Linked DNA regions of Pelodiscus sinensis. The protein of the gene in region 2 purifies or fractionates together with the protein of the main gene of each other region. This does not show direct contact. Links are inferred from orthologs where the notes say so. Each region holds a gene or a part of one and is shown on either strand. Other genes may lie near its edges. The genes, in order: C1QBP, KRAS, HSPD1 and HNRNPA0.

Region 1 (8,207 bases), on a different chromosome or scaffold from region 2:
ATTAAATACCAGAGAAAGGCCAGCTAGTTGAACAACCGAAAGTCACAGCTCTATTCCAGCTCACCAAATTTCAGTTGCTGACATTGCTGATATGACTAATGGGGTCTGAAGTACAGTATGCACTTCACTGAATTTCCAAGCACTTTGCATGGTGTGCTACTCTCAAAGATAAACTGTACTAAGTTTAAAACACATAAATTCCTTGTATTTATGAACGAATGTATTCTTAGTTTACTAGGTTAAATTCATGTTTCCTGTTTCCCCCCAAGGTAAAATGGCCATGAATCCTTAGAAGACAAAGGCAAGATACAATGGCAAAGTATACCCCATTGTGCTACAGCAGTGGTCTCCAACCTTTTTACACCCAAGATCACTTTTTAAAATCTCAGAACAGGCAAAGATCTACCACCCCGCCCCTTCCTTGAAAGCCCGCCCTCTCTATTCTCCTCCTGTCCATCACTTGCTATCCCCAGCCCTTACTTACACACTCTGATAAACAGTTTATTTTTAAATTATGCGATACATACAATTAAAATCACATGTTTATAGTTATGAAATAAATGGTCTGTTTTTTATTCATGCTATTTAAATCTAAAATGAAGCATTTATAATTATACATTTTTGTGGGGACAGAGTTCTGTGGCTGGGGGCAGGGGAAAGGGAACAAGGTGCTGGGAGGGCAGAAGACAGGTTTCTGCAGCTGGGGACAGGGTGCCAGTGGGGACAGAGTTCGGGGAGTGGGGACAGCGTTCTGTGGCTGGGGCCAGGTGAGTGGGGACAGCGTTCTGTGGCTGGGGAGTGGAGACAGAGAGTCCCCTGCATCTCCCTCCTCCCAGGATTCTACCCCCCACCCCCAGGGAAACCAGTGTGTGCCTGCCCCGGCGCCAACCCCCCCTCCCCCCCCCCCGCCCAGGAAAGCCCCGCGTGCACGCCTGCCCCGGTGCCGATTCCCCCGCCCCCGCGCAGGGAAGCCCCACGCGTGCCTGCCCCGGCGCCGACCGCTCCCCCCCCCCCCCCCGCGCAGGGAAGCCCCGCGCGGGCACACCTTGCCCAGGGGGACAACCCCCCGGCGCAGGGAAACCCTGTGCGCGCTTGCCCCGGCGCCAACCCCCCCGCCCAGGGAAGCCCCGCGCGCACACCTGCCCGGGGGCCAACCCCCTGCGCGCTTCCCGTGGGGCTGACTCACCTCTCCTGTGCAGTGCAGGGAGCCAATGCTCCCTCCCACAGAACACCCGGCAGAGCAGCTAGTGCACTTCTGGAATCGCCGGAAGTGGCGCTAAGCTGCAGGACTTCTGTCCATTCCCGGGAAGCCGACACTACCTCCATTTTCACTTGAGGTAAGTAGTGGGGCTTCTCGGGGGTGGGAGGGAAATGGGGGCAGGGCAGACAGGACGCCTCGCGAGCGACTGGTTGAGGCCTCGCGAGCGACCAGTAGATTGCGATCGACCTGTTGGTGACCACAGTGCTACAGTATAGAAAAATAAATTGACTACAAAGCTTCTGTTATCTGTACTGGCCCTGAATGACAGCAGAGCTGACAATGAGAAACAGCACTAAGTTAATAGCTTTTCATTAACCTCAATCCTGGACAAAACATGCTGGCTGCAATTTTTACCAAGTCCTTTATGTTCACTGAAAAGATCAAATATCAATTAAGCAAAAAACCCATCTCACACTTACCTCTCACCAGCTATTTTCCGCACCAGTTTAGCCTCGGTGCCATGCACTTCTAGCTCCCACCCTCCAGACATCTTGGGCAGGGATTTATGTTTCTGGATCTTCTTCTCCTCTTTAATTTCATCTGTCAGAAACTGTGCAAATGCTTTGTCCCCTTCAAGGAATAAAAAAGACAAAGACATTAATACACCTGAGTTAGAAACATTGTTCCCTAGTGGTTAGATGAGAAAGTAAAGTTAAGCCTCAAGATTCTATTTCTAGTTGAGCTACGTACTTGACCAAATAGCTTGTGTGTACCTCAGCTTATCTGGGTATAAAATGGTGAGGTAAGACCACAGACTTTATACTGATATTAGAAGGCCTACTTGTTCATAAAGTGTTTGTTCATGTTCAGCTGAAAAGCACTATACTGTTGAGGGCAAAGAATTATGTTGATTACAGAGAGAGGACATGTAAGAGCCCTTGATTTGCCAAAGGTTCTGAAGTTCTGGATGAAGGCTTAGGTAAGGAGTGATTACTAAAAGACATTATTAAAAAGCTCTTCTTTCAATATATGCAAGTACTGTTACAGGTACAATATAGGAGGGAAACAGCACCTAACTTATGAATGAAGTGAGCACAAGAAGTTGGATGGCATCAACCCCTCTCAAGTTATGCAGATCCACGCTGCTCTGCAGTCTTCTTCAGAAGCCCAGATCTCAGGCTTCAGGATTTGCATTTAAGGTGATGCTTTTACTGGTTCATCAGGTGACCAGTTAACCTTTCACATCCCTCGTTAAGAGGGGTGGAGGAGTGCAGCGATGCACATAATAGAAAGGTTGAGAAACTTGCCCAAGGCCGCCCATTTTGTCAATGGCAAAATTAGGAGCAGAAACTGCCTCAGCCCCAACTCCCCCTGCTGTGCTAGCCAGACCTCTCCCATGGCAGGAGCCAGGAGACGATGGAGACACAGCAGGCTCTCCCCGCAGCTGCCCGAGCGCAGCATCCCGCCCCCGGGGGGGAATCACCAAGCGCTGAGCGGAGCCGGTCACGGCCAGGGAAGCCGCCGCGAGTCCAGGCCGAGGAGCCAGACGCCGAGCGCGGCTCAGGCGCAGCGCGCACGTCTGGGCCCCTCGCGGGTGACCCGCCGGCCCCAGCCCCGCGCCTCGGAAACCCGCTCTGCGTCCAGGGCTCCCTGCCCCCGCCCTGCCTCCTTCCACCCCCCATTACCCTCGGTGTGGAGGCCGCCGCAGCCGCAGGACAGGCCGGCGGGGGAGGCCCGCGGGGGCCGCAGGAGGCCGGGCCGCTGCGTCCCGGCGGGGTCGGCGCTGAGCAGCCAGAGGCTGCGGGTGAAGGGGCGGGCGGTGGCGGGCCGCAGCAGCGCGGAGGGCAGGAGGCGCGGGGGCCGCTGGGGCAGCGGGCGGAGGGCAGCGGCGGCGGCGCGGAGGGCCCGGGCCAGCAGCATCCTTGGCGGGAGAGCGAGGCCGAGTGAGGCGCGGGGCACGTGCGGGAGCAGAGGACACGGGGCGGCCCCTGGCCCGGAAGCGGAAGCTGTCGCCCGGAAGTGCACGCGGTCGCCCGGAAGTGGTTCGATGAGGGGGCTTCTGCCTCTTCAGGTCTCGGGCAGCGGCAGCCGCGGGCCGCCCTTGAGCCGTACAAGGAGTCGCGTCCCCGCCTCCACCGAGCTCGCGTGGTAAGGCCCCCCCCCCATTGCCGCTGGCGCCCCCGCTCTAAGGCCGGGCCAGGGGACCCTCTTCCCGCAGGCCGATCTCGGCGCGAAGCAGGCCCCGCCCAGTAACCGTCGCGCGCCCCTCCCGGCCCCGCCCAGTAACCGTCGCGCGCCCCTCTCGGCCCCGCCCAGTAACCGTCGCGCGCCCCTCCCGGCCCCGCCCAGTAACCGTCGCGCGCAAACCGATCGGAGGGGCGGTTCGGAGGCCGCGGGCGGGCGGCAGTTGGCCCGGGGCCTGCCGGCTCGAGACCTAACCGCTGCCTCGATTCGTGCCTTGCAGCCGCGCCGGGGGATTGCAGCCCTGCAACGCGCCCCCCCCCCGCACCGCCGGAGCCGCTGGTCCCTGCGGGATCCATTCGAATTCACTGACCTCGCGCGCTGGGCACCTGCTGTGGAGCCGTGTCCCCGCATCAGGCACCAATCGAAGTTTCCCGGAGGTGACGTGTCCACGTTCAGAGCCGGCCTCGGCCTCGGCGCCCCAGGCGGAACTCTGGGGAGCGGCTCCGTCTGGTGTCGACTTGGGCTTTCAGAGGCTCCTCTCCATTCTTGCATCCCACAAGTGCTCCTCCATTACGCCCCTGTTGTGCAACAGGAAAGGGACACGGTGGGCACCTGTCTTGTTGTGCCCTGGGTTCCCACACTGGCACCACAGCCCTGCAACCATGGAGCCAGAGCAGCTGCAAGGCAGTGCCACGCTCATGGCTTCAATGCTGCGCCTCATGGAGCAGTACTTCGACAATGCCCGCACGTTGCTCCAGCAGGAAGAGGAGGAGGTCCAGCATGGCCCAGAAGCCATGGTTAGCGAAGTGTTGGCACTCCTGCTTCTGTACATGCCTCTGACTCCCCTCGACACAATGGAACATCGCTTCTGGCGGAGGGAGTCAAGCACGGACTGGTGGGATCACATTGTCATGCAGGGATGGGATGATCAGCAGTGGCTGCAAAACTTCCGCATGCGCAAGGCCACCTTCCTCGAACTCTGCGAGTGGCTTGACCCTGCCCTCAGGCACCTGAATACCCGAGTGAGACCTGCCATCCCCGTGCAGAAACGCGTGGCCATTGCCCTCTGGAAGCTAGCTACATCAGACAGCTACCGCTCAGTCGGGAATCAATTCGGGGTGGGGAAATCCAGAGTCAGGGCTGTGCTCCTACAAGTAGCCAAGGCCATCAACCACATCCTGCTACAGAGGTTTGTAACTCTGGGCAACATAGACAACATCTTGGATGGTTTTGCCGACATGGGCTTCCCCAATTGTGGGGGGGTCATAGACGGAACACACATCCCCATTGTGGCTTCTGACGACCATGCCTCAAACTACATCAACCAAAAAGGGTACTGTTCCATGGTGCTGCAGGCACTTGTGGATCACAAGGGACGCTTCACTGACATCAACGTTGGATGGTCGGGAAAGGCGCATAACACACGCATCTTGCAGAGCTCATCCCTCTTCAGTAAGATGCGTGCTGGCACTTTTTTCCCCCATAGGGCAATCAAGGTCGGAGAGTTGGAAATGCCCATTATGATCCTGGGAGATGCAGCCTACCCTTTGCTCCCCTGGCTCATGAAGCCCTACACAGGCCGCCTGGATGCCAGCAAGGAGGAGTTCAATAACAGGCTGAGAAGGTGTAGAATGGTGGTGAAATGTGCATTTGGGCGTTTAAAGGGGAGGTTCAGGAGTCTCCTCACCCGCCTGGACATCAGCGAGCTCAACATGCCCTTCGTGGTGGCGGCATGTTGTGTGCTCCATAACCTGTGTGAAAACAAGGGGGAGACTTTTCTTCCAGCATGGGGGGCTGAGGCAGAACGCCTAGCTCGGGAGTTTGAGCAACCAGACACCAGTGCCACAAGGAGAGCACAGCAAGGGGCATTGTTCATCAGAGACGCCTTGAAAGACAGTTTTATGCAAGACCAGTTGTGAGACTCTCCACCCTGCATTCTGTGTGTGTGTGCGTGTGTGAGAGAGAGAGATCCCCGTCTCTCTGTTTTCCTGCCCTCCTTGGCAGAGCAAACAATAAAGAGATCATTGATTAACAAACAGGAGTCTTTATTCAGTGGACATACAACAGGGAAGGGAATGGAGAAAGAACCTGTAATGGGGGCCAGGGCTGGGACTGGTGTTTGCCTCCAGGTGGCCTAGAGGGCCCCATGCCTTGTGTTTTGGGGTCCCAGCAATCCCTGGAGACCCTTGCAGGGGTGGCCATCGAGCAGGTGGGATGTGGCTGGTGGCCCAATCCATGCATGCTGCTACATGCTCCAGCACTGCTGTGAGGGTAGAGAATATGTTACGCTGGTGTACCAGCTGCTCCCATGTGGCCTCTGTCTCCTGGTCAGCCTGCCGCTCCTCTCAGTAACCTGCTCCAGGTACTCTGCCTTGACTTCCTGCATGAGGGACTGCAGGCAGACCAGCTGCTCCCTCATGAGCATGTCCCATGTTCTTATTCATCTGCAGATCCTGGTCAGGTGGATAGATGCAGCAGGAAGTTAGGGACATGCCCAGCTCACCGCTGTCCTGCTGTGAATTTACAAGGGCAGTCTTCACAGGAAACGCTTTGTATGAAGCCTAGCCCTAATCACTGAGCCAACACTGAAGGTCTCAGTTCAGACAACAGCACTGTGTTTTGAGCAAGGCCATAATTTGCTTCTAAAGCAGGTACTTTCCAGCAGGTGCACAGACATCCCAGGGGAGCATCACAAACACAGAGACTGGAGATAAGTAGGCATGGTAAGGTGCCCACCAGGCCAGGACCATGCCGGGGGGCGGCTCAGCTTCCTACTGTGTCCTGCACATGCTGGGTCTGGCACTCGTGGCATCCTGCGGTGAGAATTTCTATCAATGCCTGCTGGAAGGAGAGGGGAAGTGTGTATGAGTGGCAGAAAGTGCTAATGGGTTCCCCTCCTCTTCTTCCTTCCAGCAGGTTCCTATGCATATCATCAGTCTTCCCTGCATCACTGTGCTTGATTTGGAGCGAATGCTGACTGTGTGCGGGCATGAATCAGGGCAGCGTGCTACACTGCTATGTGGTTCCATGACCCCAGACTGCTTCCTGGTGGCTTAGTGTAGGAAGGTGTCCTACCACAGAGGCTGGAATAAGGCAGGCCTCTATGGGAATCGTGTGAGAAGGATCAAAGGGTTCCTGTGTGACAGCATTGTGGCAATGAGTGCTCCAGCCTGACACGCCATCTACAGACATGTGAACAAGCTGTTCTGCAACCCTCGGAGGCTGTGTCTACACTGGGCCACTAATTCCGGAAAATCAGCCACTTTTCCGGAATAAGCTGTGAGCTGTCTACACTGGCCCTTGAACTTCCGGAAAAGCAACGATGCTCTACTGTACAAAATCAGCCGCTATTCCGGAAAAACTATTCTGCTCCCGCTCGGGCATAAGTCCTTATTCTGAAACACTGTTCCGGAAAAGGGCCAGTGTAGACAGCCCAGTAGTCTTTTCCGGAAAAGCGCATCTACATTGGCCACAGACGCTTTTCCGGAAAAGGGGCTTTTCCAGAAAAGCAGCCTGCCAATGTAGACGCTCCTTCTCCGGAAAAACTGAAAACGGAATAGTATTCCGTTTTAAGCGGTTCTGGAAATTCATGCCAGTGTAGACACAGCCAGAGTGAGTAACAGAGAGGAGCATGCAGCCCTTTGCCTGACCCTCACTTGCAGCTAAAGTTAGAAAACTCACCAGAAGTGCCCTCCCCAGGGTTGTCAGAAGCCTGGGAAACATCCTGGAAGGGGCGGACCGGCTCCAAAGCGAGGAGCAGCTCCTAGCTCTCAGGCATTGTTGCCTTTCTGGCATCCTCCTCCATCACCCTGCCCACCTGCAGGCTGATGCCAGGCATGTCTAGGCCAGACTGGACCACGGCGGTGGAGGTAACCGACTCCCCTCCCAGAATGACATCCAGCTGGTTGTAACAGTGGCAGGTGCTGCCCCAGAACAGCTGCTCTGCTCCCTGGCCTTCTGGTAGGACTGGCACAGCTGTTTGATTTTGAACCTGCACTGCTGCAGGTTCTTGGTGTGGCCTTTGGCCAAGAAGCTGGAGACAATCCTACCATAGATGTTGGCATTTGCCTGCATTGTGCAGAGTTCATGGAGGTTGAACGCCCCCTCCTCCCCCCCCCGCCCTACTCAGTGAGATTCAGGATCTCCTTAGCACTTCAGGCTGGAGCTCTTCTGCATCCCTGGGCAGTGGGGGCCATGGGAGCAGAAGTGCTGGCAACCATCACGATGTCAGCGAGGACAGTGGGGGCACTCATGTCTCCATGTGCTGGTCACTTGCACAGGGCTCACAAAGCTGATCACGTGGGACATGACATCAATTCCAGGATGAGCGCCGCAGGAGGGGAGAGCAGTGGGTTGGCCAAGCGTGGCTGGAGTGATCAGCTGCAGGAGGCCTCCCAGAGGCCAATTAGTGACACCAGAATGTCTGCACTACTGTTATCTTGGACGTACAAAGTTGGAACTAGTGGTACTCCTCGTGAAAAGCACTACAGGGTTTGAAGTCTGCAGCCCGCAATTGTGGAATAACGGGCTTGGTAGTGTGAATGCTTCACTTAGGCTACATCTATACTGCGCTGTCTTGCGCAAGAAAATATGAAAATGAGACGAAGCGGTGAATATTGCTATGCTGCATTTGCATACTTCATGAGCTGCCATTTTGCTCAAGGGGCTTTTGAGTGTCTCACTTCCAGAAGGATAGGTTTCAGAGGTAGTTGCTTCAGCAAAAACAACAAGGACTCCAGTGGCACCTTGAAGACTTTTATTATAGCATTGCCTTTCGTGAGTTTCAACTCCTTTAATCAGTGGACACTCACGAAAGCTTATG
Region 2 (8,055 bases):
GAAGATGCATGATTTTTTTGAACCAAGTTAATTCAGTCCATGTACCTGCATATGTTAGGTTTAATCTAGTTTTGTTATCTGGATGAATAGCTGGCAGAATACATATCCATAAATTCAGATGATTTATGAATCCTGATTGTTTTTGTAAACATAAGTGCCATAGAAAATATCCATTGGCAAAGAAATAACCTTGATAATTGAATTGCATTGGCTAGTGTATGTGTCTGTCTCTTCCTCATGGGATGGTTGCTATATGTATCATTAGCAGATGTGTAGTCTCTGCCACTGCGTAGTTTACACGTTTTTTCTTGTGTTTTTCATGTGTTTCAGAAGTATATTTAAAGACATTTTAATGTTTCGTATGTTGTTTAAAATGAACCATGAACAATTTCCTCTGGCTAATAGTGCTTGTGTTCAGTACCTTAGAAAATAGTCACTCTTAAAGTTGCAGCAATTTCTTTCGACAACAATATATGTCTCAGTAAAGTTTTTCAAGGCCATTGTTTAAATAGAAAAATTACCCGTCATTTCCTCTCCCCAGTCTGTGTGACTTTCTCAGGACTCACAGCCAGTGAATGAGAACATGAACAAGATCCAATTGTCTGCTCATAAGCAGTGGCTGTAGCAAAGTGCTGACAAGATTTGGATCTTGAAAAAGGACAGATTATGCTGTTACATGGATTTGATCTGGCATAGTTGTCATCAAGCAAAGATCCCCTTAGTGATATCAGACTGGCCAAAAAAGAAAGCAAAGTGGCTTGTTCTGCTGCGTGCACAGAGCTTGGGCTGTGGAATGAAGAGTTTATGCATCCCAGCTGGATTTGTAGGTTAATGTTATAAACATCCTTTTTGAGATAGAACATAGTAAGAATGCACTCGTTGGTTCATGCTCGAGAAGGAATAGAATAGATCAGGCTTTCTCAAAGTGTGCTCCGTGGAGCCCTGGGGCTCTGTGCAATGGGTCCCGGGGACACCACGAGAAAATATTAATGACAATTATTTGGAGCAATGGGTTTTTTTTCAATTAAAAATGGAGACAACATTTTTTATAAATAACCTATTGAGAATTATTGTGGCTGTATTCAATAAATAAGCTTGACATGCAACATGAAATGGGGGTAGGGGTTGTATAAAATGAAGAGTAGTTTGGCAAAACACTCAGGCTATCGCTGACAAACATAGAAGTGCGCTGCGGTAGCATATAGCAAGTTGCACGAGAGCTAGAGGCCTGATGACCTATATCAGAGGCTTCAAGCACCTGATACTACCGTCTGGCCTACCTCTTCACAAATCAAAGATTTAAGACGATATTTATTTCCCCCTTTTTTTGGACTGAAGTTCGCTGAAATACAGTGCACTTCACACTGCATTGTCGTTCATTTGACAATACATCACTGCCTACCCTTAGTATCAAAACACATTCTCCATGGATAAGTGGGTCCAAAAAGAAACTTTGGCTTCTAACAACTGGACTTTGGCTGGAACAAACAAAGCAAAATATTGGGAAAGGAAAAGGACAATCAATGCCTTTTGTGACTGAAAAATCAGAAAGTGAGCTGTTGAAGAGGAAACCACTTTCATCCACTGGATTAGCAGCAAGCAAAAAGAAACACAAGTATGATGAGTGTTATTAGTCTTTTAGTTTACTTGCATTGGAAATAAAGATGCTCCCGATGCATGGTGTGTGGTGTGTAACAATGTCCGTTCTCTGACACTTGCTAAATTATGAAGGCACTTTCAAATAATAAACTCTCAGTGATACAAATCACTAAATTGGGTAATGAAAACACACAGAAGCATGCTACAAAGTGAACTACCTTATTGCACACGCTGGAGAAGCACATACAATTGCAGAAGAACTCATCCAGCCTTGTGTAAGATATATTGTAACATGTATGCCTGATGAGCAATTGAGTTAAAAAAGTGGCACCATTGTCAAACAGTACTGTTGCATGTTGCATTCAAGATCTTGTTGCTGACAATAAGAAAGACCTAGTAAAGGCTCCACCAAATTTTCAGGACTCCATAGGGGATCCATGACCAAAAATGTTTGGGAAACCCCGGAGTAGAGGAACTTCACTTAATATAACAGCAAAAGAGTTGAAGACCTGAAGCAGAAAGATCCACTATAGGAAATCAGGGTTTGTCTAATGAATACTTAATTCATATCCAACTGGGATGTGACTCTACTCCACCATGCTGTGTCCATGTGGATTCTACTGCTGTGCACAAACACTTCCCTACTTTGCATTCATATATTTTGGTTTCAATGTAGGTTAGATAAAAGTTCTGTAGGGTACTTTTAGTATTCTGCAAGAGAATGTACATAGCTACATTAGTGTACAATGGGCTAGTGTGTGGAAGATTTACATCCAGCTTATGTGCTAGATAGGGCTTCAGTCACCTGAGATATGATGGTCTATACCACTGCACTTGAGAATCAAATTGTCAATCTTTGAAAATCTCCAGCTGATTCAAAAAACAATTTGCTCAGCCTCACAGGTGGCATGCTCATCATTAGTCCATGATTCCCAGAGCTGCATTTACTTTTCACTGAATACAGAGTCAAAATTTGAGGTTTCTGTCCTGTCCTTTTCTTCAACCTCATCTACCATAATGAGTGGCAATGCTAGGTGGACATTGTGTTTAAACACAGAGAACAAGTTAGTGTGTTACTTTTAGAATAAGGTACTCATGCTATGGGGATGAGTCTCAGCAGACAGAGAGATACTAATTCAGTGCTACTCAACTTTGGAAGCTCTGGGGGCCACAATGATCCTCTCAGCACATGTTGAGGGCCGCAACTTAAGTGTGGTTGCATGTACATGCAAATATATATGCAAATATATGCAAATAGCTTCATTCACACTGACGGGCATCAATACAAAGCACTTCCCATAATGCTCCAACTCTCCTGGCACCTTCTCTCTGGGGGCTAGAAATGCTGATATCCTGTACCTGTCTGTCCTAGCCAGCCCATCCGCTTGTGTCTTTCAGTGCTCATCCCGCCTGGGAGATGCCTCCCCGTTGTGGAGCATGTTCCCAGTGGAGGCCATGTTCAAAGGATCCCACCCCTGGGGCTCATGTTGAGCCCTGCGAAAACCCAAACCATCCTGTGGGCTGCAAACAAATGGGCCACGGGCTGCATGCGGCCCGGGGCCGTGTGTTTAGTAGCCCAGTACTAATAGATGATAAAGAAAACATGTTACTGTGACACTGACCGACCAGCCACCTGTGTGTGACCCAGAACAACTTAACATGATGTACTACAATTGTATCAAAACAATTCACCTGTCTGTGAATTTCAGAGATGTACTAGGCTAGCAATCATTAACCCGTTAATTTAATAGAAATCAAGGGAAGATATTAACCTATATCTTGTTAGAAGTTTAACAAAGTAATCAAAGTAGCTGTAGATGCTAATTCTCTTTCATATCTTAATTGCCTTATGTTACATGTGTGGATGGTTTAGTTAACCTTAAGATCAAAGATGTGAGATACTGCAGGAAACTAATAATTTAACTACATTGTTTTCAGCTTAACTATCTCTGTTGCCTTACAGTGTAATGACATTATCTGTGTATGCATAGGAAATAGAAAATTAACTTCAAAGCCTATGTCTGACAACTATTTGCAATGCCTATTCTCCCTCAGAGGAAAGTCCTGCTGTGACAATTTCTATGAGGAGGCTTGTCAGCCTGCTAGAGAGCTATAAAAGAGAAGCCTCAGGCCTGATCCTGTCTCTCAGGTCTGCTTTTATAGAGCGGGTCTAAACCACAGGACTGAGCTTTCCAGGTAATTTATCGGAATTACCCTGGAATTCTTATGGAAAACCCCCGACTCTTCACCTGAACTGCCAGTTACATTGTAACCCTTTGAATTGATTTCAGAGAGCCTTTTACAAATCAGCAGCCTCATTGTCTCTGCTATGAAACTAGATAAGGACTTTACACTTATTCATATGTATATTGATTTTTTAACCATTTGTAACTCTTCTTTTTTCCCTTTATTAATAATTCTTAGATTTATTTATTAAGGATTAGCTAACAGTGTGATTTTAGAGAAGATCTGGGTTTGCTGTTGAACTTGAAGTGTCTGATCCTTTGGGACTGGCAGAACTTTATGTATGGTTAACAGGATTTCCAGTAACCTCTCACTATGTTAGACTTGGTTGTTTAGATGGGAGCCAAGGGCTGGAATGCCTAAAGAACACTGTGTTTGGCTTTGGTGGAGCTAGTTATAGAATAAACCCACTAGTTTTGGGGATTGTGTACCCCATTTCTTATAGTCTGCCCTAAGCGTGGTATTTTCAATGTGGCCCATCCATGCACCCCAGTCACAGTTATGGTTAACAACGCTTTATGGTGGAAAGGTGAACAGGTCTGATGAAGGGCCATGTAAAGTTGGTAAAGTCACCAGGATCACACTCTGTTCTAATTCCACATATACAACCTCCTGGGATAAGCTTGCCACTCTTTCTCCATTTCCACTTATAGCATTAATGAGGGTTACAATGTCTCCTATGCTGAGTCCATCTTTGAAAAACTAACTTTCTTCCTCAGCTTTAAAAATGAAGACAAGTTAATCATTTGTGAGATTGCAGGAAGCAAGGGGCAAACGCTGTTTGTGTGAATACAATGGTTTTCCGGCGGGAACAGCAAAAGGAAAAGTGAGATCTTATGTAGGAGTAAAGGCAGGCCTGGGCAAAATACAGCCCATGGGCCAGATCCCTTCCTCCAAGCCACTGGATCTGACCCGCGGAGGCAGCGGGGAGCCCCAGGCAGGCTCATGAGCTTGCCCCGCATTCCCGTGCGCTGTGCAGAAAAGTGGCTGCAGGGCTCCATTTTTGTTTTGAACCTGGAGGGGAGAAGGGAAGTTTTAGGAGCTGCACTGCCCCCAGCACATTCCCCTTGGCCAGTTTTTGGCAGAAACTGGCTAATGGGAGCTGCTTGTTAGACTAACAGGCAACTAAGAAGAATCACACCCCTCTCTTGGGCTCAGTTATTCATGAAGGTCATGGCCAGGCAGGCAGGCTGGCTGACTGGGAAACATTTTAAGCTCTGCAGGCAGGCAGGCAAGTTTGGCAGCTGACAAGTAAGTCTGTTGGCCACAGCCTGCTTCTGGCAACCCAGCCCTTTCCTGCCCAAAATCTCTGCCCCTCCCCCCCCCACTCAACATACCCAAACCCTCTGTTCCCCTCTTACACCCATACCCCCTTCCAGATCTGGCACCGCAATCTCCTGCCCCAGATCACAATCCCCTCCTACCTTAGGTCACATCCCAAACCCCTGCACTCTAGTCCCCTGCCCTAGGTCACAACCATCTCCTTCGCCCAAACTCCCTCCCAGACTCCAGTCTTCTTGCTGCACCCCAGTCCCTTACCCAAGCTCCCTTCTGCACCCAATCTCCATTCCAGACCCCTCATCTCCATTAATATCATGGAAGAGTGCGTTCCTTGACCACTTTCCAAAATCTTGGTGTGGCCCCCTGTCAAAAATTATTGCCCACCCCTGGGTAAAGGGCATAGGGGTGCTGGATGGACTTTTGGGGACAGGTTCAGACAAAAGCTGGCAGTCACTTCAGGTTTCTTTGGCCAGGGATTTTGAAACATAGATCCATTTCTGGGAAAACACATCTAGGTAACAAACCCATGATGTTAGCTTTTTGAAATAGTTTGCTTCTTAGGTTAGAACTGTAGTAGAAGTTCACTAAATCACACTTCACTAATCCTCGCACCCCATCATTTGCACACATTGGACTAGATTCTGATATTGCTTGTTGTTTTTTACATCAGTTTAACTCCATTGACTTCCGTGAAGTTGTTTTCATTTACATTGTGAGATCAGAATACCCAGCAATTTCTCCCTGTTTTTCAGCAATCATTTAACACCGTGGTCCCCAACACGGTGCCCACGGGCGCAATGGCGCCCGCGGGGGCATTTCCATGCGCCTGCCAGGTGCTCGGGGCTGGCCTGGCACCGGGCGCAGGGCAGGGGGAGCGCCGGCCCCGGGCGCGCGGCGCAGGGCGGGGGGAGCACCGGCCCCGGGCGCGCGGCACTGGGCGGGGGGAGCGCCGGCCCCGGGCGCGCGGCGCTGGGCGGGGGGAGCGCCGGCCCCGGGCATGCAGCTATGGGGGGGCGCCCCGGGCATGCGGCTATGGGGGGGGCCGCCCCCAGGGCGCAAGTGTCCCCGCCCCCTGGCGCCCGGCGGGCGAACGGCCCCGCCCCCTGGCACCCGGCAACCTTGAAAGGTTGGAGATCACTGATTTAACAGAAGCCTCTGGTGTGGGTCTCTGTTACTTTCACAACATTCACTATGGAACACTGATACTTCATTGTATACTATTATTAAAACTACAATGGTCAACCAAACAAATGCATTCTGTGATGTATTTTCCTTGATTTTTTTAACCCTGTTTGCTCATTTACTACTTAATTTGCTAAATTCAGTAATACTGTGACATGGATTACTCGGTCATTAGTGAAGTTCCATGTGACGTGACAATGTTAAGTCTACAAAGCTAATTTTCCATGTTTAATTTGTAATCCTAAAGCCTGTCACCTTAGAAAGGAGGTTATTAAATACACATGCACACACACTCAGTGTAGGCCTACTTTAGCATAGGCAAATTATCTGAATTTCATGCAGACTCAGCACTGAAGAGTGAGTGAGGCCAACATTTCCTTTGGGCAAGGCACTGAAAGGAAATTGGAGGAAGGTTGCACAATAAGTGAACCTTCAAAGGAAACATGGAGTTGGAGAAAGGACTGCAGGAGAGGGAGCACAGATTATAAAGAGAATGAGATTCAGAACTGATGAATTTATGAGAGTTAATGATGGACAGCTGTAGGTGAGCAAAGTGGGGTGGATCTTAAAATATATATTCTTGTGCCGGGGGGAAAAGAGTTGGAAGGAAAGAATGGATTGTGTTATGTGAGAATGGAGAAAATAAGTAAAGAGATTAATTGCATAGAAAAAGGGGAAAGTAGGGACAGGGAGACTGTGGATTTGGGAAAAGAAGTTGTGGATTTCAGGGATTAGGAGAAGTAGAAGGGAATGGTGAAGGAGAGAGAAATTTGGAATCATGGAGAAAAGAAAGTGAGGGAGAGAGAAGTAAAGAGAGAGAGACTTCAAAATATAGAAAGGGAGCAGTGGGAATGGAGATATTAACCATATAGCATGGGTTACAGAGACGTGAGGCTGCTTCTTTATATGTCTGTGTTTGGGCCTGGGAAATGTGAAAGGGCATTTAGTGCTTGGCTTTGTGTGTGTGGCATTTATGGGTAATTTAATATAATATCATTTGCCAATTGGCAAGTTATTCAGGTAAAGAATACCAGATATATACACAGTAAACATGTTAATTTAATATATAAAATGATTATATACAAGTGTCTTAAAATCTACTCTAACTGTACATTGTATTTTTAAAATTTCCAGAGAATGCCCTTCAGGACGCATTCTCCTCCTCCGCACCCCCATTCCTATTTAAGTTTGGTGATTCCTGATAGCTCCCCAAAGCCTCCCATTTCCTTTTGGCTAGCTATGGGCCTACTCAGGGCCATGAAACATCTGAAAGTAATTAAATGCTAATAATATTGGGCATGTTCTGTCCTGCACTGTTTTTATCTTAAACTTTCTTTGTAAATGAGCATGCAGGTATCAGTGGAGAAAAGGCCAACGGCTTTACTGTAACTTTGCAACAATTACTGCGGTTTCAATGTGTTAGTTCCTTTACAGACAAATATGATGAACAATCAATGTTGCAGTCTAGGGCCTTGCTCCTGCACAGATATACTCAGATTTACACCCTGGGAGTAATTCCATTGATTCTGATGAAACCACTCACAGGGCATAAAGTTTGAATGTGCGAATTAGTCTTTGCAGGATTGGAGACAAGGGCTCTGATGATGCCATTGGATGTGTCAGGTAGACCCTTGTGCTCATGCAGCGTTCTGCAGACTTCAGTGGAACTCCAGGCGAGGTGGCTCCTAGTGAGATTGGTGCCTAGATAACAATTATCTGAATTAAATTCTGTGTATTCATTACTGGGGC
Region 3 (7,467 bases), on a different chromosome or scaffold from region 2:
TGTTTGTAGCAGCTGTGGCTGGCTTCTGCCAGAGCAGCCTCTGCCTGTGGTGAGCCTAGGCCCACCATGGGCAGAAGATTGCTTCATGGGAGCCTCCTTTACCCTGCAGAGGCAGCACCATAGAGCTGGTGCTGGGGGAGGAAACCAGCTTTTAAGCCAGCTCCTGCCCCACCCACTGCCTCTCATACAGAGGCAGCAAGCAGGTGGAGGGAAGCAAGTAGTCAAATACTCGACTCCCGGCTACACTTAGCCTTATCTGGTAGCCAAGAACTCAACTACTTGCTCACATCACTAGCTCAGGGGTGTGAAAAGTTCACAACCAGTTCTACCAACCTAACTTCCAATGCAGACAATACTATGTTGTTGGCACTTTACCACTTTTTGCATCATTTTGTCAACCCTCACCTTGAGGAACTAGGCATTCTCCTATATGTGTTACATTTTTGCTCTTCGAAAAAGCTAAGAAGGTGCCACCTCCAACTATCACGGAGTGACTAGCTCTTTTAAGAGGGGGCAGGGCCCGGGCACCTACTGATTAGTTGCCTCCCAAAGGGGGTTAAGAAAAGGCACCTGAGCTACATAAAAGCGAAGTCAGGAAAGCCGGATCAAGAAGAAAGGACAGATGCAGAAACAGAAGCAGCAAAGGAGAGCAGGTGCAGAGAGCTATTGGGAAGAACAAAAGCTAAAGAGTATTACTGATGGGGACTGGCCAATGCTGAAAGCTGGTGCAGAGGCCCCTAGAAACAAAGGGAAGAGCCAGCCTGGTTAGGGAAAGTCAAATCCAAACCAATAAGATTGATGCAACAGAATGGTTCCCAAAAGCAGGAAGAATTTAGGAAGGCCTACGTGAGTAACTCAGCTAGTTCACGTGGGAGACCTGATTTGGGATTACCAGAGAATAGTCAAGAGGAAGGAAGCAAATGTGGGAACTCTCAAGTGGATGGCCTGGAGACTGGAGTTCTGGAACATGACAGATGATATCCCAGAATGGGGGAGGGGGGAGCTGAGAACCTCCTCTACTTTAGGATTTTGGAGAGAATGGTGTTATGAGGAGTCTGCAGATTACTGAACAAATACTAGAATACTATTCTTACAGTTAAGCCTTTGAATTGAACATAGAAATAAGGGTTACTTTTATGGCTGGACCAAGAAGAAACTCAGATACACACACACACCACCCCCCCCCCCAGCGCAGCTTATGGCTTGGGGGTTACCTTGTCAGTCATGAAGACAAACCAATTCCATTTCCATTAACACAGAGTAACTGCTTTGAGAAACCTAGTCTTACATAGGTTTTTAGATTATTTTTTAAAAGCCATGACACAAATTAAGTAGAATTTCCTCACCACTTGGTTTCTCTCAAGCTGACATTTTTTGTTTACAAAGAACTAGGGGGCTGCATCCCCTGCTCACTATGCTCGCCAACCCTCCTTCTCTGGGGGTAGGCAGCCAGGGTCAGCCACTGGGAAGGGCCAGGTTGATGCATGGCAGCCCTGGCCTACCCCCTTTCCTCCCACCCATCACACCAGTCCTGGCTCTCTTCCTCCAGCTGCCAGCGGGGAAAGGGTGTTAGGCCAGGCGGTGGCAGCCCCGGCTCCCATCTGGAGCACTAGAGAGGGAGGAGGTAAGCAGGACGTAGTGACATAATGACATCACTGTCATCCCACATGAAAAAATTTAGATTAGATAGATATTTAAGGAGTGTTGAGTAATGAAACACTCACCTTTGGAGATAACTCAATTATATGCGCGCGCGCCCACACACACACACACACACACTTCCAATCCTGCAGAGACCTACTGTGTATAATTTTATTCATGGAAGTAATCCAACTACATGCAATGGGATTACTCACTAGGATAAACACTTGCAGAATTGAGCCTAAAGGTGTATTCACCTAACAGCCACTCCTTTTATTATATCCTTGGGACTTGTTCGCGGTTACATGGTTTACCAGGGCAAATCAGGAGGAAACCCAATACAGAGACCCCAACTTTGGATTTATACTCGCTAGAGAAGTGGTTCTCAACCTATCGCCATTGTGGGTCACAGCCACACACTATAGATACACAATACTGCCTATATAGCCCTGAGGGTGTCACTTGCACCACAGCTATATGCTGATTGAGCACAAAGTGGTCCACAGGTCAATAACCTCTGCCCAGGAGAGGTGTATGATCTCCAAAGCCTTGCGTTAAACACAACCCCTATCCAAAATTACTGTCTTGCTCCAACATCACAGCTAGTACTCTGAAAACCTAAATTTGTTGTAGGTTGTTCAACTACCTCTATTATAGTCAACACTGCATGTTCACATAAGCCACGCTATTTACTAGGGATGTAAATCCTGATTAATCAGCTAAACAATAACAGATTAATCAACTGGTTAACCAATTAAGTGGGACTCCAGCTGCCAGCATCAGTCACCAGGGGCTGCCTAACAGTGCTGAAGCAGCTCTCCATCATGGCAGGTTGAAGCAGTAGGCTGCTCGTGGGGAACCATTTATGTTGTGTGATGGGAGTACTTAGCTTCCTCCCAACATGAAATTGGGTTTATTACTTTAAACTGAACTGGGTTCTGAACATGACACTTCTAAAACAGTAACATTCCATTAATACTAACCATCATAAATATATCCTGCCATAAGTCATCTTCCATCCACTGAACAATTGTCCAGCCAAAATTTAAGTGCCTGTATGGTGCTGGAAAGACTAATTTAGCAGCACAGAGATTAAGTTCTAACAAGAGTCTGGCATATTATTCATTTACTATTTCTGTGCACACAGTGGTTTAATGACTGATAAATTAACTTATGCACTGTATCTACTATAATTTTGAAATGGTCCATTTGATGACATTTTTTACTTTACGAATACCTCAATCCCCAACTGGTTTATAAAACAGGGCTGTACTGAACAAGAATTCACATTACACAAAAAATAATTTAATATACCTTTGGTCCCATGGTGACAGCTACAGCATCTGCTAGAAGATCTACTCCCTGTAGCATAAGAGCTCTAGCATCTGCTCCAAATTTAACATCTTTTGCATAGGTCCGTAGTAGGTGTGGGGCCAGTGCTCTGGACACTGGCCTCATCTGACGTAGCACTGTTGATAAACGGAGCATTTCTGAAGCATAAATTAAAATAAAAAAACACAACCACGTTAGTTTTCATTTGTCACAGTCCTTTGAACAGCCTTATTCCTACATTTTGTCCTCAAATTCCTCCCAAAATTTAAGGAATAAATAAATTACTAATAGTTCTTGAGTTTTAAATGAAAGCTGTGACCTAACAAATATTCAGTACCCTAATTTTACTAGACACTGGATACCAGAGCGAAAGTCCGGCCACCTGGAATCCTAGATTCTAATTCCAGCTCAGCCAGTGACAGGCTATGTGATCCTGGGCAAGTCACAACTCCTGCAGCTCCGTTTTTAGTCTGTAAAATGTGAATAAAGTGTATCAAGCTCACCAGAACGTGATGTTCATTTTGTTTTTCACATGCAGAGATTACAGCCACGGTGACAATGAGTTTTATCACAGCACTATTATGTGTTAGAGAACAGGGAAAGGGGCATTTCTCTCTCCCAGAGTGGGCGGGACGACTATAGACAAGGCTGGTCAGAGCTCAGCAGCTTTATCAGCAGAAATGTCCCCAAAATGAAGTCCCCGTTCCCCAAGGGGCACGCGACAGGGAAAGCCAAGCCCGCGCTGTCCCAGGGCGAGAGCATGTCACTAGCAACTAGCACAAAAGCTGCAACAGTAGCAACAGCCCGGCAGAGTCAGCAAAGCCCCGGCCCCCCGCACGGTTCTCACCGTCAGGACACAGCAAGGTCAAGAGGCGCTCGCCCCCTGCTGCTGCCGAGCCGCGCTGCACGGCGGGCAGGGAGCGGAGCCGGCCACGGGCTCAGGGCAGCGTGCAGCCCGGCAGCGGAAGGCACGGCACGAGGGCCGGTTCCCACGCGTGCGGGGCCAGGGGCGGGGGCAGCGCAGCCGAGCGGGGAACACGCTGCCCCCCCCCCCAGGCTCGCCACGTCTCCCCCGCCCCCCCCCACAGGCTCGCCACGTGCCCCCCCACCCCGACCCCCCCCAGGCTCGCCACGTGCCCCCCCCACGTTCCCCCCCAGGCTCGCCACGTCTCCCCCGCCCCGACCCCCCCCAGGCTCGCCACGTGCCCCCCCCAGGCTCGCCACGTCTCCCCCCGCCCCACGCCCCCCCCAGGCTCGCCACGTGCCCCCCCGCCCCACGTTCCCCCCCCAGGCTCGCCACGTGCCCCCCCGCCCCACGCCCCCCCCAGGCTCGCCACGTGCCCCCCCGCCCCACGTTCCCCCCCCAGGCTCGCCACGTGCCCCCCCGCCCCACGTTCCCCCCCAGGCTCGCCACGTGCCCCCCCCCCCACGTTCCCCCCCAGGCTCGCCACGTGCCCCCCCCAGGCGAAGGTCTCCCCTCCCCCCAGCCCGCGCGCAGGAGGCGGGGAGCCGCTCACACCGTGCGGGCCGGGCGGACAGGGGCTGTGAGGGGCCGCTCACCTGCGCTGGGAGGGCTGGGAGCTGGCGAGCCGCGCGGCGGGACTGACGGGAGCCTGGAGGGAACACGGCGCTGGCCAGCCCTGCCCCTCCCCCGCGCACGCAGCGGCCCATGTGGGTCCCGGGCAGCGCGGCCCCGCAAGCCGCATAACAGCATACGCGGGCCCCGGCGAGGGGCGGGGCGCGGCTTCCCGCCAATCGCGGAAGCGCGTAGCCGGGGCGTGGGCGGGGCCTGCGAGACCTCGCGCCCTATGTGCGCCCGCCGCTTCCTAGCGTGTGAATCATACAGATTTCGGGGCCTCCCCATTCCAGAACCTTCTGGAACGCTCATGCTCGCCACAGGTCAAAGGTGGTATTGCGTCACTTCCGGATGTTCGTCCGCTGCCGGGCGCAACGAGGCGGTACTGAGGCCGCCGTTTAACATCGCCGCATAGAGAGTCCGGTTCTCGTGCGGAAACTGCCGGCGAGAGTAAAAAAATACAAGTGCCGAAAGCATTTGTCTCCCAGGAACAACGGAAGTAGCCCCGCCTTCCGGCGCGCGCCGCTCGAGGGGAGGGGGAGGCGCATGCGCAGCGGGAGTGGTCCACCCCACGTGCAGTCGCGGCGGGTCAGTGGGGCGCTCAGTCGCAGAGCGGGAGGGACACGCTGCGCCATGGTGAGCGTCTCGTCCCGCCGCGCGGTGCTGCCGGGGCCCGCCCCTGGGCCGCAGTGGGGGGGCGGCGGCTCTGGGCACCCCCCAGTTGCCGCCCTGGGGCTGCGGGGCCCGGGGTTGCCCGGGGGGCGGCGGCGCTGAGCGCGGGGCCGGGGGGCGGGGGGGTTACCGCAGTGGGGCGAGACGCGACACGCGATCGCCCGGGCACATCCGCTGGGTCGGCCCGGAGCCCCTGGGCATGGAAACGTGTCCTAGCAGCTGAACAGGCAGCGAGCCTCCCTGAACCCTCATTCCCAGCTGGCCTGGGACTTGCCCAGGAACCGTCTTCTTAATCAATACAGTATAATTGGGCTGGGTTTCGTCTCTTGGCTTGTCCCTGAGCCTGACCTTGCCTGCTCACAAGGTCATGTAAATACCGCAGAAACTGTTAAGCCATGGTGGTAGAGATGTAGCCGTGTTAGTCTGGGGTAGCTGAAGCAAAATGCAGGACAATGTAGCACTTTAAAGACTAACAAGATGGTTTATTAGATGATGAGCTTTCGTGGGCCAGACCCACTTCCTCAGATCAAATCATGTTAAGCCATGGAACCAGTGAGGGCAAGGATGACCTTTTTCAAATACGTTTGTTCTCTCACCGTTTCTATCACTAAGAGAGACAGTAAGTTATTTTTAAAAGTCAAACTTAATACAGTGATATTAAGTGCTACACAGTCCTGTATTTTGTTTCAAACTTAATAAAGCGATAGTGAGCTCGTATTAGTAGGTCTCTGTAATGTGTCTTTAGACGATGCCAAATCCAACAGCCACAGCGGGAGGAAAAAACTCCTTTCTAATTTTTTCTATTTTTTTTTTGTTGATCCCTTTAGTATGTGGTCGTTCCTGTCACAGAAAACACTGATTTAAAAGAACATAAGTTAGTATAAAAAGACCCCAAATTCTTAAATCTATGCAATTGGTTAAACTAGATGTTTTCAACATGTTGATAGCCTTGCCCAAGTCTTAATAGAACTGGGGGATGAACCAACGTTCGCTAATACTTTTAAGAATATTTTTGATCTGGCAATCATATCCGCATCCTGCTTCCAAATTTATTTTTTTGTGTAGCAATAGCCCCTAAGGGAGAGATCCGGGCTTGTGCGTTCTCTGTATTTCTAGCTGATTCTACACGTGTCCAGGCTGTGGCACTTTGACATCTGTAGAAGCAACTGGAATGGTGCTGGAAGCCAGCAGCCTGTGACTTGGCAATTCTTCATATGCAACAACTTGATTGCTTTTAAACTAAAATGTGTTCTGGCTCTCTTTGGCTCCCTTTCTTGTGTTACTTGCTTAGTGAAGTTGCAAGGATTGCAGACTTGTATGTGGCTTGCACTCTGTGATCTCAAACACTGCTGTTACCTCCTGGCTCAGTAGTTAAGACTGACATTTTTAACAGCCCTAGGTTGGTAACCTTTGCTATTGCCTGCTGCTAGCTTCAAAGTAATTGCAGTTCTCAGTGTTGGGTTTTCTTTCTCCATCCTCAGCTGCACCCGCTCCCCCTCCTGCTTTCTGTTCCTTCTCCATGCAGCAAAGAGGCAGTGTTTGTAATATAGTTAATATATTATTATATATTTTAGAGTTTGTTTATTCAAGATCTCCTAGATGGTAAGAGTTGGGACCAACATAAGGGATGGGTATACGTGGAATGGGATCACTTCTCATAAAACCATACATAAAAGAGACACTCACCAGGCAGGTGAAAGGGGCTGATTGGGGGTGCACCCTTCTCCACTCTCTGGGACTGGCCAGCACTGAACCTCCCATCTCGCAGGGCCCATTAGGGAGGATGGGAAGGGCTGAAGCTTCTGCTGTTTAAATAGTAAAATCTTGTATTTTGGATTGCAACTTTGTTGCAGTCTCCAAAGTGATTTGGTCTTTTCTGTACAGTACAAAAATATTGAATTCTATTTCAACAGGCTGGGAAAGCATTTAGGAAATTTCTTCCTTTATTTGACCGTGTTCTGGTTGAAAAATGTGCAGCTGAGACTGTAACCAAAGGAGGAATCATGCTTCCAGAAAAATCTCAAGGGAAAGTGCTACAAGCAACAGTAGTGGCAATTGGATCAGGATCCAAAGGAAAGGTAAATCTATCCCAATTTTGCACATCACTAACTTTTTTGGATAAAACAAATAGAAGCAGGATGTTATCTGAAAAATGAAAATCTAGATAGCTAAATGATGTTTGTCCTTACATTTACATTGTGCCTGATCTAAACAATGTCTATAATATTTTGAAGAGGACATTTTTA
Region 4 (7,152 bases), on a different chromosome or scaffold from region 2:
AAGTTTAACCGGTTAACTGATTAAATGGGGGCAGGCAGAAGTGCCATTTCAGTCCACTGGTCTGGAATGGTGTTCTCCACCCGCGGCAGCCCTTGCCTGTGACAAGACTGGGCCTGCCATAGATAGGGGCTGTTGTGGCCAGCCAGTTGAAGCAGCCCCTGCTTGCGGTGGACCCTGTGGGGCTGGAGTAAATCCCTGTCCGTGGCAGGCAGGGGCTGCTCCAGTCCCTCCTGGTTAACTGGAACTGGTATGCCTGACCCATTAGCAAAATAGAAAGTGCCAATTGCTTGAGTTATTGAGAACTAACTAAGCCAATTAAGGGATAATAGTGATTCGAGGGGAAGAGTATGAAATAGATTGGAAAATTGGATAGGAAAACACTGGCAGGAAGAACAAAAAGAGAGTGGGGGACTGAGAGCTGTATGAAAGGAAAAGAAGGGCTCTGTGTAAGCCCCAACACTTCTCTGTCTCACCAACAGAAGTTGGCCCAATAAATTATTACCTCTCCCATACACTCTCTCTAGTATCCTGGGACTGATACGTCTATAACACCACTGCATACATGAAAGGGAAGTAAAAATGAACCTAAAGGGGTAAGGAGAGCTGCAAAAGGGATAAACAAGAGAATATAGTAAAACAGGGAATAGAGAAGGGCTATGAAAAGAAAAATGGTTTTAAAATGTAAAAGGCAAGGTGGGTGATAGAATATCTTTTACTGCTCTTTGTGGTTTATGCAACATTTACAAGCTCCTCTTATTTGATTAGTGGGAATCTCTTGGAGAAGCTACGATCCCTTGGTGGCCCACTTAATCTTGGACATACTTTGCTAGGCAATGGGACAACTTCCTAACCTCATAGTTAATTCCCAGGCACTATTCGGCTACGTCTATATTGGCAAGATTTTGAGCAAATATTTTTAACACAAGAGTTTTTGCGTTAAAGTATTTGCGCAAGAGAACGTCTACACTGGCATGTGCTTTTGCGCAAGAGATGTGCTTTTGCACAAAAGCATCCGTGCCAGTGTAGACGCTCTCTTGCACAAGAAAGGTCCGATGGCCATTTTAGCCATCAGGCTTTCTTGCGCAAGAAATTAACATTGCCTGTCTACACTGGCCTCTTGCGCAAGAACAGTTGCGCAAGAGGGCTTATCCCTGAGCGTGAGCGTCAGAGTATTTGCGCAAGAAGCACTGATTTTATACATTAGAACGTTGGTGTTCTTGCGCAAGTACTCGCGGCCAGTGTAGACAGGTGGCAAGATTTTGCGCAAAATCTTGCCAATGTAGACACAGCCCTCTTGTTCTGGTTAGGGATGTTAGATAGCAGGTATTTGAGTAGTCGTGTAACCACATGAAATCTTTGTGCTTACACAATTATTCAACAGTACCTGGGGGCAGGGCTGGCAACCAGTGCGCTCCTGGCTCCACACCCGGGGAGCGCCCATTCACCCCATTCTGCTGCCTCTGTATCAGTTTAAAAACCAGCTCCCCTCACGGACTGGCTGCCTGGCACCCCACGCTGCTGCCTCTGATACAGAAGCAGCAGAGTGGGGTGGCAGTAACCCCTGTCCGTGAGGGTCCCATGTTCTCCATGGACAGAGGCTACTCCAGGAGATGCAGAGCAGCCTGTCCTCAGGGAGCTCAGACCCTCTCCCGCAGTTGGGGGTTGCTACCTCGAAGATGCGAAGCAGCCACTGTCTGTGGGTACCCTGGACCCCTTGTGGACAGGGGCTGCTACCATGAAGCAGCTTCCCCTCACCCTCGCTGCTGCCTCTGCTAGAGGCAGCAGACTGTGGAGCCAGTGTTGGGGGAACCATCTTTTAAGCTGGTTCCCTTCAGCACCAGCTCCTGCTTTCCCTCTCTTGTTGCCTCTGATACAGAGGCAGCAAGTGGGGGGATGTAAGTAGTCAACAAGATTAACTGATAAGCCTAGGCTTATTGGTTAATTATCTAGTTGACTACTCATTGACATTCCTAGTTCGGGTTTGTGGTGCTTGAAAGCTTGTCTGTTCCACCACCAGAAGTTGGTCCATTAAAAAACAAGGGCTATGTCTAGACTGCAAGCCTCTTTCGAAAGAGGCTCTTTCGAAAGAGAGCGTCTAGACTGCACGTTGAACTTTCGAAAAAGCGGCTTGCTTTTTCGAAAGAAAGCATCCAGTGAGTCTGGATGCTCTCTTTCGAAGAAGCCCTATTTACATTGAAGAACGCCTTCTTTCGAAAGAGGAACTTTCGAAAGAAGGCGTTCTTCCTCGTGAAATGAGGCTTACCGCAATCGAAAGAAAAGCCGCATTCTTTCGATTTAATTTCGAAAGAACGCAGCTGCAGTCTAGACGCAGGTGAGGTTTTTTCAAAAAAAGGCTACTTTTTTCGAAAAAACCCCTGAGTCTGGACACAGCCAAGGAGAAAGGTAAGGAAATATCTTTCTTATAGGCTGGACCCATTACTCCTACCCCAAGACAAGCAATGTGAAAATAATGAGTTGTAGGAAAGTACAAATCCATAACTCAACCCAGATGGGAAGGAAGGAGCACAATAAAATAAATGCCTAGGTGCTATGATAGGAAATTAAACGTGAGAATAGGCGGACGCCTCACAGCCTGGCAAGGCCCCGTCCCAGGTGTCAGTGGACCACCAAAGGATCCTAGGCAGATTCCCACTAATCAAAGGAAGGGGGCCTATAAATGTCACCTTGACCCCCACAGAGCATGTTTTCCCTTTGCTCTTGGCTCCTCAGTACATAGGTGCTGAACTGGGGTTGCTTCTGCACCCCCAGGCTTATAATGGAAGCCACTTTAGACAAGGCTAAAGCGTATTCCAGCACCCGCTGCTTTTCCCAGTGCGCTGCGCGGGAGCCAAACACCAGCAGCAGCAGAGGTGTGACTGAGCCCATCCCTCTGCCCCCGAGCCAGCTGGAACCCGCTCCCTCCCTGGCCTCCATCATCTCCCAGGGCAGGCCGGGGGGGGGGGGGGGGGCAGAGCAATGGGACAGATGGATGGGGAGTGGGGAGCACGGTGTGAGCAGCCATGAATTGCCCCGCAGAGAGCCAGCTCCGAGTCGCTGCTCAGCACAGGGGCCGCAAGGGACGAGCTCCAGGGGGCGCGGGGAGCAAGGCCCTGCGGTGCTCGCAGCAGGCACGAGAGAACGGCCCTGGGGGGGGGGGGTGTCCCCTCAGGTTTATCCGCTTCAACATGGCTGGTTGCCTCAGCCGCCCCTCCGGCCCAGTGCAGGTGGGGGAGCTTTGCTGGGCAGGAGTCTGGCCAGGCCCCTGAGGCGGCTGCTCTCACTGCGGGGCAAGTGCTTGGGGCGGGGGCATGACTGAGGGGAGCCCGTCTCTCGGGCGAGGTGCTGGGAGCTTCAAGCCCGTGCTGGGGGGGGGGGGCGGCCTCTCTCTCATTTCATTGGGGAGAGGGACTTGTAACTGAAACTGCTGCCTAACGGTCAGCTTTTCAAACGCTCCCGCGCGGCCTGCCATAAAAGCTAGGCGACGCCCTTCCCCCACTCGCGGGGGCGGGGCTGTTGGGGGGGAATGGGAAGCGCGCGACTGGGAAGGAGGAGACCTATTGGCTCACGTCCTCGGGGTTGACGCATTATCGCAGCTTCAAGTCGGTCCCTCCCTCCCTCCTCTTCTCTCGGCGCGAGTTGAGGCTGCAGAATCCTATTAGTCGATTCTTGATTAGGCCCCGCCTCTCCACCCTCTGCTTTACAGGAAGTCGATTGGCTCGCTGGGACGTCAGTTATTATCTCACTCCCACCCTCTCTTTTCCTCTTGCCTACGCGCGGCGGAGGTCGCGTCATCCGATTAGTCCTGGAGACGTCAATCACGCACGAAGCCCCTCCTTCTAGTGAGTGACACGTTCACGTCCGCTGCTGCGCCTTTCTATTGGCCCAGTGTGCGCTGAGGGCGGGTGCTACGGCGGCACGGCGGGCGGGGCTCCCAGCGTCCCCTTTGTGTGAGCACCAGTTGCCGGCCGAGCGCCTGAGGAGTAGCAGCCGCCATTTTGTGCGTGTCGGTGTGCTCCCCCACCCCCAGGCCGCTTTTCTGTGGAACCAGCGGCGGTCGGGTCGCTGGCGAGGCGAGCCCAGGCGAGGCCAAGGAGGAGCCGCGGCAGCTGCTGCTGTCTTGAAGTTGCGGCGCTCGTTGTACGTGGAGAGGCCCGCGCTGCCCCCCAGCAGGAGGAGGAGTCTCGGCGCCAGGCCCAGGCGCAGCCCCGGCGGCGGCGGCAGCATGGAGAATTCGCAGCTGTGCAAGCTGTTCATTGGCGGCCTCAACGTGCAGACCACGGAGGCCGGGCTGCGGGAGCACTTCGAGGCCTACGGCACCCTCACCGACTGCGTGGTGGTGCTCAACCCGCAGACCAAGCGCTCCCGATGCTTCGGTTTCGTCACCTACTCAGCCGTGGAGGAGGCCGACGCCGCCATGGCCGCCTCCCCCCACGCCGTGGACGGCAACGCGGTCGAGCTGAAGCGGGCCGTGTCCCGGGAGGACTCGGCCCGGCCGGGGGCCCACGCTAAGGTGAAGAAGCTCTTCGTGGGCGGCCTCAAGGGGGACGTGGGCGAGGGGGACCTGGTGCAGCACTTCAGCCAGTTCGGCCCCGTGGAGAAGGCCGAGATCATCGCCGACAAGCAGAGCGGCAAGAAGCGCGGCTTCGGCTTCGTCTATTTCCAGAACCACGACGCCGCCGACAAGGCCGCGGTGGTCAAGTTCCATCCGATCCAGGGCCACCGCGTGGAGGTCAAGAAGGCCGTGCCCAAAGAGGACATCCAGTCGGGAGGCGGAGGCGGCGGCTCCTCGAGGCCTTCTCGGGGCGGCAGGGGAGGAGGACGAGGACGGGGTGGCGGTGGATCCGGCAACCGGGACCACAACGGGCTCTCCAAAGGAGGCGGCGGCTATAATAGCTACGGAGGCTATGGTGGAGGCGGCGGCTACGGGTCTTACGGCAGCGGCTCCTACGGAGGAGGTGGTGGAGGCGGAGATTATGGCAACGGGTACGGCGGGTTCGGCAGCTACAGCCAGCATCAGTCCTCTTACGGCCCCATGAAGAGCGGCGGCGGCGGAGGAGGAGGGGGCGGCAGCTGGGGAGGGCGCAGTAACAGTGGACCGTACAGAGGAGGCTATGGTGGGGGAGGGTATGGCGGCAGCTCCTTCTAACTGGGAGCGCCCATACCCATCGGGGGTGGCATGGAGAGCCCTCCCTTTGTTACGGGGCACCTTCTAATGGTTTCTCCGCTCACTCGCCTAAGGGCAGTTCTTAGTAAATGCCTCCCTTGCTGTGGGAGCAGCTCCTAAATGCCCTCTGGGGGTGCTCTGCCTGTGCCACTTCTTTCTCTCTGAAGATGGACTGGGCCCCACACACACATACTTTGTGTTACAGTCATTGATGGACTCTATTTTTTTATTATTACTTGGACCTTGGTCGTTTTTATACTAGCAATGAAAATGTCTTGTTTTAATTTTGTTTTTGGGGTGGGGGGTGGGAAATGTCTTGCTGATTCTGAAGTAAAAACGGGGGAGGAAGATGGGGGGGAATTTACTTTGTTGTAAGGACTCGATACCTGGCTACTACATTTTTTTTCCCCTACAAAATCTGCTTGGATCCCATGACTGAAATTAACATTTCTGTAAAGGAGGAAAAAAATCGTTTTTACGTTTTTTATTTTTTAAATAAATCATTGTGTTCATTGACCTTTACATGTCTAACTTTTTTCCTAGGATCCATTCCGTACGGTTTAAGGCTTTTCTGGGTTTGAAACAAGTATTGTTCCTCTGCTTTTAATTCTCTATGTATTTAGAGACTTTATTGCCAGTAAAGGTCCTAATTTACTATTTTTGCTGTCCCATTAGTGGATTTATTGGTTTTCAAACACTTTATGGACAAATTTTTGAAGTACTAATTGGTGGATGTGGTATGTTTTTTAAATATTCATTCTCACTTTTGCAGTTTGTGTGCATCCACCATCTTGTACTAGGCAGTTTGATTGACGTGCTGACATGGTTGGTCAATTTTTTCTATAGGACTTTTCCATCAACGTATGTACTGTGTAGTTCTAAAGAAATAGTTTGTGTTAAGCATGTGCTTCATTCATATAAAATGTTCAAAATTTCCAATTGCTTAGTTTCAGATCCTCTTATTGGCTTGTCTGTAAATGATTCGCTACAGGAAAGGGTCAACATTTATTCCTTCAATTAAATGCCTACTTGTTTTCATAGTACCAGGTTAAAACAGACTCTTCACTTGATCTGAACTATTGTCCTTCGTTAAAGTTCCCGAGTATCCTTTGCAGCACCATCTACTGGCAGAATGGCAGAACTGCTGCTGTAGGCTTCGTTACAACAGAGGCAAAATTGTTTGCTAACAACTCTACTAGATTTTTTTGAAAGGTGTCATATGCCATTAAATGATTGGCGTAGACTGAAATAAAAATCAAATCTGCATGTGACTAAAGATGGGCTCCCTGCATACTGACTGAAACAAAATGGATTTGAAATATCTGCTTCAGTACATTTCTAAAACTTACAACTGCCCATCCTTCAAAAGAAGTGGTAATCTAAACTGTTTGGGCAAAGTGCTATGATGAATGAGCCAGCTAAGTGTACCGGTAACATAGGTGCCAGTTGTAAAGCAAAATATCTGTGTAGTCTGCTTGATTAACAAATGTATATTTGTAGCCCTTTCACGCAATAGAATTAAAGTTTGTTGTTTATTTGGAAAAAAAAAAGCATAATGTTATAGGGGAAATCTGCCTTCCTGGATAGAAATATAGAATAGCATCGTTTATGGGTTTATGGATATCACAAATAAAGAATTGAATTCCTTACATGCTTGAGTGAGAGTATGTATGACATGGGGTATGGATTAAAAAAAAATTGTAAAGTCACTTTGGTTCCAGGTTTCTAAGCATTTAATGTTTAACCTTTAACCATATTGTTTTCTCACTGCATTCCATGGGTTTGATCCTACTTCCATTATAGCTAATGGCAAAATTACCATTGTCTTAAATGGAAGTAGTATAGCGCACTACAAATCCATGAGCTCCACCCATTTTGATGTGTAACTTTCAAATCATTGTTTTAAAAAAATCAGTGACTCCGTGGACACTGATTTCAGTTGGAGTTATGCTAAATCAAAATAAGATCAGTTGATGAGTTACAATAAG

The links.
Region 1: the proteins of KRAS (region 2) and C1QBP purify together in Homo sapiens (affinity purification with mass spectrometry; 3 studies listed by BioGRID and IntAct, with this or other methods). This does not show direct contact. The link is inferred for Pelodiscus sinensis from reciprocal best matches to the Homo sapiens genes KRAS and C1QBP.
Region 3: the proteins of KRAS (region 2) and HSPD1 purify together in Homo sapiens (affinity purification with mass spectrometry; 3 studies listed by BioGRID and IntAct, with this or other methods). This does not show direct contact. The link is inferred for Pelodiscus sinensis from reciprocal best matches to the Homo sapiens genes KRAS and HSPD1.
Region 4: the proteins of KRAS (region 2) and HNRNPA0 purify together in Homo sapiens (affinity purification with mass spectrometry; 3 studies listed by BioGRID and IntAct, with this or other methods). This does not show direct contact. The link is inferred for Pelodiscus sinensis from reciprocal best matches to the Homo sapiens genes KRAS and HNRNPA0.

The regions. Positions count from the first base shown.
Region 1 is NC_134731.1:25,931,735-25,939,941, reverse strand, and holds the start of C1QBP (complement component 1 Q subcomponent-binding protein, mitochondrial), read right to left. Parts: upstream 3,122-8,207; coding exon 2,887-3,121; intron 1,832-2,886; coding exon 1,681-1,831; intron 1-1,680. Other genes in the region: uncharacterized protein LOC102447468, read left to right, coding at 3,249-3,349, 3,666-5,304.
Region 2 is NC_134711.1:118,849,926-118,857,980, reverse strand, and holds the start of KRAS (GTPase KRas), read left to right. Parts: upstream 1-4,762; 5' UTR 4,763-4,770; intron 4,771-8,055. UniProt on the Homo sapiens protein: Ras proteins bind GDP/GTP and possess intrinsic GTPase activity. Plays an important role in the regulation of cell proliferation.
Region 3 is NC_134717.1:71,507,453-71,514,919, forward strand, and holds the start of HSPD1 (60 kDa heat shock protein, mitochondrial), read right to left. Parts: upstream 3,130-7,467; coding exon 2,956-3,129; intron 1-2,955. Other genes in the region: MOB-like protein phocein, read left to right, coding at 5,096-5,185, 7,135-7,299. UniProt on the Homo sapiens protein: Chaperonin implicated in mitochondrial protein import and macromolecular assembly. Together with Hsp10, facilitates the correct folding of imported proteins.
Region 4 is NC_134727.1:31,945,764-31,952,915, reverse strand, and holds HNRNPA0 (heterogeneous nuclear ribonucleoprotein A0), read left to right. Parts: upstream 1-3,952; 5' UTR 3,953-4,222; coding exon 4,223-5,146; 3' UTR 5,147-6,813; downstream 6,814-7,152. UniProt on the Homo sapiens protein: mRNA-binding component of ribonucleosomes. Specifically binds AU-rich element (ARE)-containing mRNAs. Involved in post-transcriptional regulation of cytokines mRNAs.